Linked DNA regions of Ovis aries. Each later gene encodes a partner of the first gene's protein in a complex. Links are inferred from orthologs where the notes say so. Each region holds a gene or a part of one and is shown in the gene's direction. Other genes may lie near its edges.

Region 1 (4,247 bases):
TACTGTCTGAGCCTGAGGTGTGGTTAAATATACCATTATAGATCCATGATTTAGAAATCTACATAGCCAACAGAAGCAATGAGATAGTGCTATATATTAACCATGTAAAAGTCTCCAAGACATACTGTTCAGTGGGAAAAGGCCATTTGCCTAGGAGAATGTTTTGGAAGGATCTTCTACAACTGACAGCTCATGACTGCTGACTCAGTGGACTCATGAGACCAAAGAATAAGAGAGACACCAACACAAGCAGAAAAACTCTTAAAACCACGCGGTAAGTGCAATGAGAGAGAAATGCACAATAGAACAGAGAAGCCGGGAGGAGGCAAACCTAAGGCAGCTCTGGGAAGATGTGGGAGTTTTAGTCTGGAATAGCTCCCAGGAGATGGTGATCAAGTTAAGATAGGTAGGAACCAGGTAGAGAGGAGGAGAAAGCACTCCAAGAGGACGAAACAGTAGGAACAATTCATGGAGGCTTGAAAGCTGTATTCAGTGAACCATCAGTAGGTTGCTACATATCAAAACAGAGATAGGGATTGTAACAGAGGCTAAAGAGATAGGCAGGGTCCATCAGGCCTTCTTTTGTTATATTAGAGAGATTTGAATTTTTTTTATGTGATGAAGAGCCACTGAAGACTTTTGAGTAGGACAGGTGTTCTAAAAAGAGATTAGTTAAAGTGTTAGTCACTCAGTTGTGTCCGACTCTTTGTGACCCCATGGACTATAGCCCATGAGGCTCCTCTGTCTATGGAATTCTCCAGCCAAGAGTACTGGAGTGGGTAGCCATGCCCTTCTCCAGAGGATCTTCCCGACCCAGAGATCAAACCCGGGTCTCCTGCATTGCAGGCGGACTCTTTACCCTCTGAGTCACCAGGGTAGCCCGAGAGGACAGTGAGACACAAGGCAGAGAGGACGGATAGGAGGTGACCACCATCATTCCAAGAAGATGAACGTCTGAAAGGAAGGCTGGGATAGGCTGAGAACAGTGAGAATCAAAGGAGGGGAGGAAATCAAGGCATATCAGGTTGGTACAATCTGTAGGAATTAATTATGGGATGGATGCAGGTTGGGGAGTGAGAGTTGGGGAGGAATCATGCTCAGATGCATCCAGAGTTCTGAGATAAGTGCAGGAGAGATGATGAGCTGACTCAGAAGATCGGGGAAACTATACCTCAGGGAATACAATGATGGTTACAAAAGGCATCTGGTATTGTCCTTCTGCTACTGTCTTAAAAGGGATTCTAGAGGGATTTTCTTTCCCTTGTTCCTCCAGCCCTACACTTGCATTACTGGCCTAAGGGGATACTCACCAGCTGGCCGTGTCTATCATTACAGCTAAGTCTGAGAATTCCTGATTATACTTAGAGCCAGTGGAGCTGCTGACACAAACAGTCATTAGCAGACGACCCTTTTGGAACAAACTATGCTTTAAAATGTAAACGGTGGAGGCATTTTCCTTGCGTTGTCCAGAAAGAACTTTCTGCTGCCTGAGCCTGGATTAATCATGAGAGAGTTCGTCAACATTCCACTGGTACATATTCTTACTTTGGTTGCCTTCAGCGGGACTGAGAAACTTCCAAAAGGTTGGTTTCAGCACTCTTGTCTACTGTTGCCTGTGGCCGTTCTAAGGTGCATGCGTGTGTTCCTATCGTGACTGATTCATGAGGGCAGGCTTGGGTTTTACTTGGTGAAGTGGGGGTGCAGTATATGGAGAGGGAGAAAGCTATATAAATAAGCAATTGATGGATGGTCTCCATTCTACTGCTATCCATCCCCTGCTTAAGCTCGACAATAAAAAGTTTAGCCATTCAGTGCATACAGAGTCCTCACTTGTAAGGGAAACATTAACAGGTAAACTGCAAGTTATTGAGGTCAGTTTGTTTATGCGTATGTCAAACTTCAGGGTGGTCTAAATGGATGATGAAAACCTTTTTACATCAGGTTTGCCAGGAATGTATCAGTCCCACTCCCAGACATCCAGAGTGTTTGCTTCTGAACAGAAATCGCTTCCATTTTCAGTTTCAGCTTTGCAAAACTCTTAATCAATATTTGAGTTCCTCCCAAATAAAAATTAGAGAAAGACGCACACAAGTTGCCTATGAAAGTCTGAAGAACAACGGGTTCTCCATAGGAGGCTGGAGTCATGATTTGGTTTGGCAAGAGACCGTGAAAAGTTTTTTTTTCAGAGGCTTTGGAATGTACCGGAAATAACACCACCTCAGGGGAAAGGAAAGCAACTTAAGAAACTGACAAACACCTGTTGCAGTAGCAAGAATGTCCACAGTTTCTGGCCAGCGTATTATGAAACTGAGACTAGTGTATTTCAAATCAGGAAGAAAGACAGGAAAATAGGTGATCTGCAAAGTGACTGAGGGCGTCACTGAAGTCTTTTTACAAAGACATGAGAAAGCAAATGGAGGAACATTACAAAGTTTTCTGATTAAATGGACTGTTGTTTAGCAGCCCAGTCATGTCCAACTCTTTTGCGAACCCATGAACTGTAGCCAGTCAGGCTCCTCTGTCCGTGGGCTTCTCCAGGCAAGAATACTGGAGTGGGTTGCTGTTTCCTTCTCCAGGGCATCTTCCCAACCCAAGGACGGAACCCTCGTCTCTTGCATTGGTAGGGAGATTCTTTACCATTGAGCCACTAGGGAATTAAACACATTACAGTAGAGTAAAGAGAGTTCTGTGAATTTATGACACATTCAAATGAATTATTTTCCCTTCATATTACTTCACCAAAGAACTGAATGGGTTTGTATTGTATAGATAAGCGAAGGTAGTCATACTGTATGTTAGTTAGAAAACATAGCGTAGATTTTGTGGTTCACTAGAATTTTTGGAACCACAAGGTCAAAACTCACATACTAAGAAGATAGAGCTTTCTTCACCAACAGTCTGATTTCATAGATTTATGTTGTTTCATTGCTTTCTTTTTCTATTTTATCTGCACAAAAGGGTGTCTTTCAATGCATTTAAACTTTTGTCAACTAATACTTTAAGGTACCTCCAGATAAAAAAGAATCTATATCTTTTCAAATAGCTAATAATAGCCAGAAAGACTTAACACTGGCTTCAGATTATTTTAATGCTTCCTGATCATACAATGGATGTCCGGAAGGGCAGCACCTGGATGTTTGGACTTATGGATTGTTGTAAATTTATTTGTGCTATTCTAAACCATAAAGTTACATATAAATGACATGGTTAGATGCTAAAATGTACTGAAATCCAGTCTTACAAGGAACACAACAATTGATTTTCTAATTCAAATTAGAATCCCATGCATGAGAAAAACCAAACCCAACCTCCTAATTTCTATCTAGAGATGATTTGTAGTTTTCAAACTTTATAGGTAAAGCACACTGTTTCTATTTTGAAAAGTCACAAAATATAGTGGCATAAACGTAACAAAGCCAAAATCCCGAGCTCTAAATAAAATAGCCAGACTGTTACCCTAACTTTGTTTATTTGTTTATAGCTTATTTACTGCTTTAATTAGATTGTAAACTCAAAAAATTAAAGCAGTATGTTTGCCTATCCTACTCAAAGAGAGTATTTGAGTATTATTCAAAAAACTAAATTAATATGGGTTTAACATCAGCCTTAGCAAAAACACCAGGCCTGGAAGAGCAAACATTTATTAACTACACTTACCAGTTCTGAGAATACACACTATCATGAAAATGCAATCCTTAATATTTTACATGTTGAAGCGCATGGAATATGTTGGTACAAAGAACACATTAATATGTGATTATTTTAGTACTATTAACAGTAATGAAATTATGCTACACAAATTTGTGTAGATATCTATTGTTTTCTCTATTCTTGGCAGAAGGCAATAATGCGAAGAGGTTTTTTAGGTGGTACCCCCTTTTCCTAAGTCCTTTATTGTGAATGAATCAAGACATCTGCACTATAATATATCATAAAGTAAACTGACACAGTTAAAATAGTGCAAGAGTATTCTGTGGACTCTTTTCCAATCATCAGCATATGATTTCTTCAAGAAAATTAATAACCAACTTTGTAGAATAGCTTATTATTATTATAGTTTTAGTTTAATTTAGATTCCTAATGTTCAAAGACAAAGGGAAAGTTCACTGTCTTTCTGAATCATTTTTTCTGGTGATACTTTAAATCAAACCACAAGGAGGAGGATTTTATAAACAGTCATGTATGAAAATAGCCAACATTTCATTGAACAGTTGCCTTAACCACATTTTTCAAAAATATTTAACACT
Region 2 (4,240 bases), on another chromosome or scaffold:
CTGTGCGCAGCATGGTGGTGGCTGAGCTGGGACCCCAGCCCAGCGGTCTTCCCGCCGGTGCGGCCCCCATGCTCTGCTCAGGGCTCAGCCAACTGGGGTCAGTCCTGGAGGTGCCTGCGGTTCTGAGTGTTAGATCCTCCTCTGTGAGAGGCAAGACCTGGACAGGATGACGACACGCATCCGCGTTCCTACCCGTGCGGACTTCAGGGTAACAGGACACTGCAGAGCCTTCCCCCTTCCTCCCAACCAGATCCTCAGCCGCCTCAGGGTGGGACCCCGGCTGGGGCACACTGCTTCTCTTTGCTTTTCAGAGTGCCGGCCTGTCTTTGCCACTGGCCCCGGGGCCTCGTCGATGCTCCTAAAGGCGTGAGTGTTGGAGGTCGTCTCAGAAACGGGGGCTGAAGTCTGAGAAGTGGACCCACCTGGGTTCCCAAAGAACCTGGGCAGCTGACCAGGGGATGTGGGCGGAAGGACGGAAAACCCGAGGCTCAGAGCTCCCCCGCTGCAGTGGGGGCTCTCTCGCGGGCTTTTACGGAGCAGCCTGGAGGGATGGACCTCCCCAACCCTAGCAGCCAGTGGCGGGGCGTGTAGGTCTGGGACCAGACTCAAGACTGGGGCACTGTGGCCCCACTAACCGCCGGGAGCAGTCTGCACCAAAGTCCTTGCTGCCAGGGGACAGGAATGAACCCCCCATCCTCCTGCCTACGGAGCAGGGGTGGTCTGAGGGGTTGGAAGGGAGCAGGGAGCAGGCAGGAGAGCTGGGTTGGAGAGTGAGGCGACGTCCTGGCCAGAGCTGACTGTGGTCCGTGGTGTCCGGTGACAGCTCAGTGGTGGTGGGAGGGACAGGTGCGCGAGGGTGAAGCCAGCTTAGAGGAAGGCACACTGGCAAACGGGGGCCCACCCGGGGCGGATGCCTCTTCCGGGGGTCGTTTCCTTTGCTTTCGGAAGGGGGGACCGCCTCCCCAGCCAACCCCACCGGGGTGAGCAGCGTCGGAGCCCCAGGATCCGAGCCTCGGCAGCGCGCAGTCCCAGAGGGCAGGGCGCTCAGGTGGCCCCAGGTGCCCGGGGGGCGCATCGCCCAGGCCGGGCGCGGGTGGGGCAGGACCGGCGGGCTGGCACCTCGGCCCCGCCCGCCGCGTGCGCCGCCCCGCCCGCCTCCCCGCCGGCCGGCGCACGGCGCTCGCGGAGCTATTTTGAAAGTGACCCTGGGCCGGGCGGCCCGCGGGGCGGCGGGCGGGGCGGCGGGGCGCGGGGACCATGATAGAAGATGACCGAGGCGGCGCTGGTGGAGGGCCAGGTCAAGCTGCGGGACGGCAAGAAGGTCGGGGCCGCGGCGGGCGCGGGGCGGGGCGCGCGCGGGCGGCGGCTCACGCTCCCTCTGTCCCCGCAGTGGAAGACTAGGTGGCTGGTGCTGCGCAAGCCTTCGCCGGTGGCAGGTGAGCGGGCGCGGGGCGCCGGCGCGGGGTCGGGGGGGGCCCGCGCGCGCGCGCGATCGGCCGCCGGCGGCCTCCTGCGTGCGCCCGGTAGGCCCGGAGCGCCGGCCAGCTCGCCCGAAATAGCCGGCGGCGGGCGCCCCGGGGCGAGGGCTGTAACCGGAGAGCGCCCCGGCCTCGGCCTGCGGGGACCCTCCCGGCGCCCCGACTCGGCCCGGAGCCCCTACGTCGTCTCAGACCCCAGATCCCTCGGCCGACCCCGCCTTGGCAGGAGGGCTGACCAGACCTCAGAGGGACCTGGTGGGGTTGAGGGGGTTAGGAGACCGGAGGGCTGAAAGGGCCTGAGCCTGTTCTGGCCCCCTCCCCCATGGCGACGCAGGGAGCATCCCAGAAAGTCCCCGCCCAGTGGGGACTGAGCTGTGTCACTGACCCCAAATCCAGATGGGGTGTCCGGCCGGATTGACCCCAGGCGCCACCCCCTCCCCTTGCCCAGGTGGAGCTGAGGCCTGACTGCCCTGGAACAGAGAGAGGGGAAAGAGACCTCCTCTGGGGATGTGTCCTGGGAACCCCCCCAGTCCCAGCTCCCTGGGAGGAGGCTGGACAGGCACGTGGAGCTGGGCATCTCCAGCCTTGGTCCTCAGCGAGCGGCGGCGACCCAGAGGCTCTGGGCCGGTTGGCTGCAGCTGTTCCCGGAGACAGGTGCCCTGGAGCTGGCCCAGGCCCCCAGGGGTCTGTGTGCACTGCTGGGGGCGTGTGTGCACGCTGCCTCACACGTGCGAGGCTGTCGGTCTTCCGGCACGCCTGGGGGTGTCTGGCAGTTCCCAAGGAGCTCCCCTCCTCATCCGTTGGCCGAGCCGGCTCTGGGAGCAGCACGGTTGCGGTTGCGGGGCAATGGCCTGTGTTTGGCCTTGGACACACTCTCCTCCTACCTGGAACTCAGCGTCCCCGCCAAGGGGCCTGAGCCCTGCACCCGCTTCACTGAGCTCACCCGTCTCGCAGGCCCAGCCCCGTGCCTGGTGCTGGGGGATCCTAGTCCCAGGGAGCTCAGGGAGGCCTGGCGGGGCTAGGGACTGGGAGGCAGTGGGATCCCTGCACTGGCCAGGCTGTGGATGGTCAAGGTGGGCACAGGCGGTGTTGACGGAGTGGGCAGGGGCTGGCTGGGGCCCGGGGCGGGGGCTGCTTGCAGGGAGGCTGATGAGCTAGGGCCTGTGCGGGCCTCTGGGGAAGGTGACCCACCGGAGCGCAGCCCCAGGCGGGCCTCGTCCCCCTTGCTGGGGCGGGTGGTGATGTGCAGCCCCTGGTGGTGGGTGTCGTGTCTGTATCCTAGAGAGCTCGGTGAGGTCTGTGCCCTGGCCGGGCCCGGCAGACACACCTGTACGCCGGGGCCCTCTGGCACCGGCTCCTCACCGCCACAGATTTTGAGTCTATAAATGGACTTGTGGCTGTTGAGCCTTTCTTGGGTCTTTCCACACGCAGCCCTGCGGGAGGGGAGCTTGCCACGGGCCTAAGCGGAGGGAAGAGCCGCCTCTCCAGGGCGCCAGGGCGGCGGGGCTGGAGGGGATGTGCCCAGAGAAGAGGGTTAGGCGCTCCAGGCAGGACCTGGCCTGGGGACTGGGCGGGAGGGGACTGGGCTGGAGGAGGGTCCATGTGCCCCTCTGGGTTGCTGTCCGTCGTGAGCCCTGCGCCCCACGTCCTGGTCCCCAGAGTCTCGGGACCCCCACTGTGGTCCCCCATCCAGTCCAAGGATCTGTCCCCACTCTCCTGTCTCTCCTCCCGGCCCTTAGCCGATGAGCCGGCCCCTCTCCGGCTCGCTGGGGGCCTGGCTGTGAGGGGTGCAGCTGCCTGGTCCCCCTTATCCTGAAGACCGGCTCCCTCGGTGGACCTGGGTGGGGGGTAGGCCCATGCATGTTGGGGTCTCACTGCGGAGACTCCCTAGATCCCAGCTGCAGCAGAGGGGAGTCTGGGAACGAGAGGAGGGGCCGCCCTGCCTGCTGTTCGTGAAGACCCCAGGGCTCTTGCTTTTAGAAATCATTTCCCTCCCAGGTGGGCCCAAGGGAAGCAGTAGAGGGTGTTGGAGACTGGGCAGGTGGGGGACACAGAGTGCCCCTCTCCACTTGGTCCCTTCTCTGGTGTTTGCGCTTTGTTTTAATCAAGACCACTTATGCTCGTAATAAAGTTTAGGTAATCAGAGGGAGGGGAACTACTATGGGCAGAGGGGACGGTCTTTACTGAAGCTTCAGTGAGAACTGCCCCCAGGGGTCCCCTTCTCTGTCCTGGCCCGAGGATTCCTGTCTGGGTCCTTTCCCCGGGCCAGGCCCCCGTGAGAGGAGGGTGGTGTGGCCCACCCCGGCTGGCCCTGGGCAGCCTCTCTCTGCACCTCCCTGGGTTGAGGCTCAGGATGCTGGGAGATGCTCTCCCGTGGTTGGGCTCTGGAGGGTGGCCCACCCATGGGCGAGGCGTGCAAAGGGCTTCGAGCAGCCAAGGCAGCTCCCCGGGCACTGGCTCCGAGGGCCCTGCTGCAGGGACTCCCGTGTGCACTGCCGGGCCCGCGTTATTCTGCCCAGAAAAGCCGGCAGGAGGGACCCTGAGTCCTGGAGCGGGCAGGGCCTTATAGACAGCGGGGCTGAGAGCTGGTGACCCAAGGGCTCTGGCCCTAGCTGAGTGGGTGTGGTCTCCTGACTCCTCCCCCGCCCCCCACTGTGTGCTCCGCCCTTCGGCCAGCAGGGTGTCCACGCCCCGCTCCTGTCCTGGGGAGGGCCGCTATCTACGCTCCCTCCTGGTGCTGAGTTCCTGGAGGGCAGGGGCCC

What was found.
Region 2: the proteins of MUSK (region 1) and DOK7 are in contact, whole or in part, in a crystal structure (PDB 3ML4), measured with the Mus musculus proteins. The link is inferred for Ovis aries from reciprocal best matches to the Homo sapiens genes MUSK and DOK7. Residues at the interface, in NP_035074.2 of Mus musculus: Leu547, His548, Pro549, Asn550, Pro551, Met552, Tyr553, Gln554, Arg555; in NP_001335203.1 of Mus musculus: Leu154, Ser155, Asp156, Leu157, Arg158, Arg159, Tyr160, Gly161, Gly172, Thr173, Arg174, Ser193, Asp197, Val200, Arg201.

The regions. Positions count from the first base shown.
Region 1 is NC_056055.1:12,707,980-12,712,226, reverse strand, and holds the start of MUSK (muscle, skeletal receptor tyrosine-protein kinase), read left to right. Parts: upstream 1-1,390; 5' UTR 1,391-1,504; coding exon 1,505-1,583; intron 1,584-4,247.
Region 2 is NC_056059.1:116,134,769-116,139,008, reverse strand, and holds the start of DOK7 (protein Dok-7), read left to right. Parts: upstream 1-1,259; 5' UTR 1,260-1,267; coding exon 1,268-1,321; intron 1,322-1,390; coding exon 1,391-1,436; intron 1,437-4,240. UniProt on the Homo sapiens protein: Probable muscle-intrinsic activator of MUSK that plays an essential role in neuromuscular synaptogenesis. Acts in aneural activation of MUSK and subsequent acetylcholine receptor (AchR) clustering in myotubes. Induces autophosphorylation of MUSK.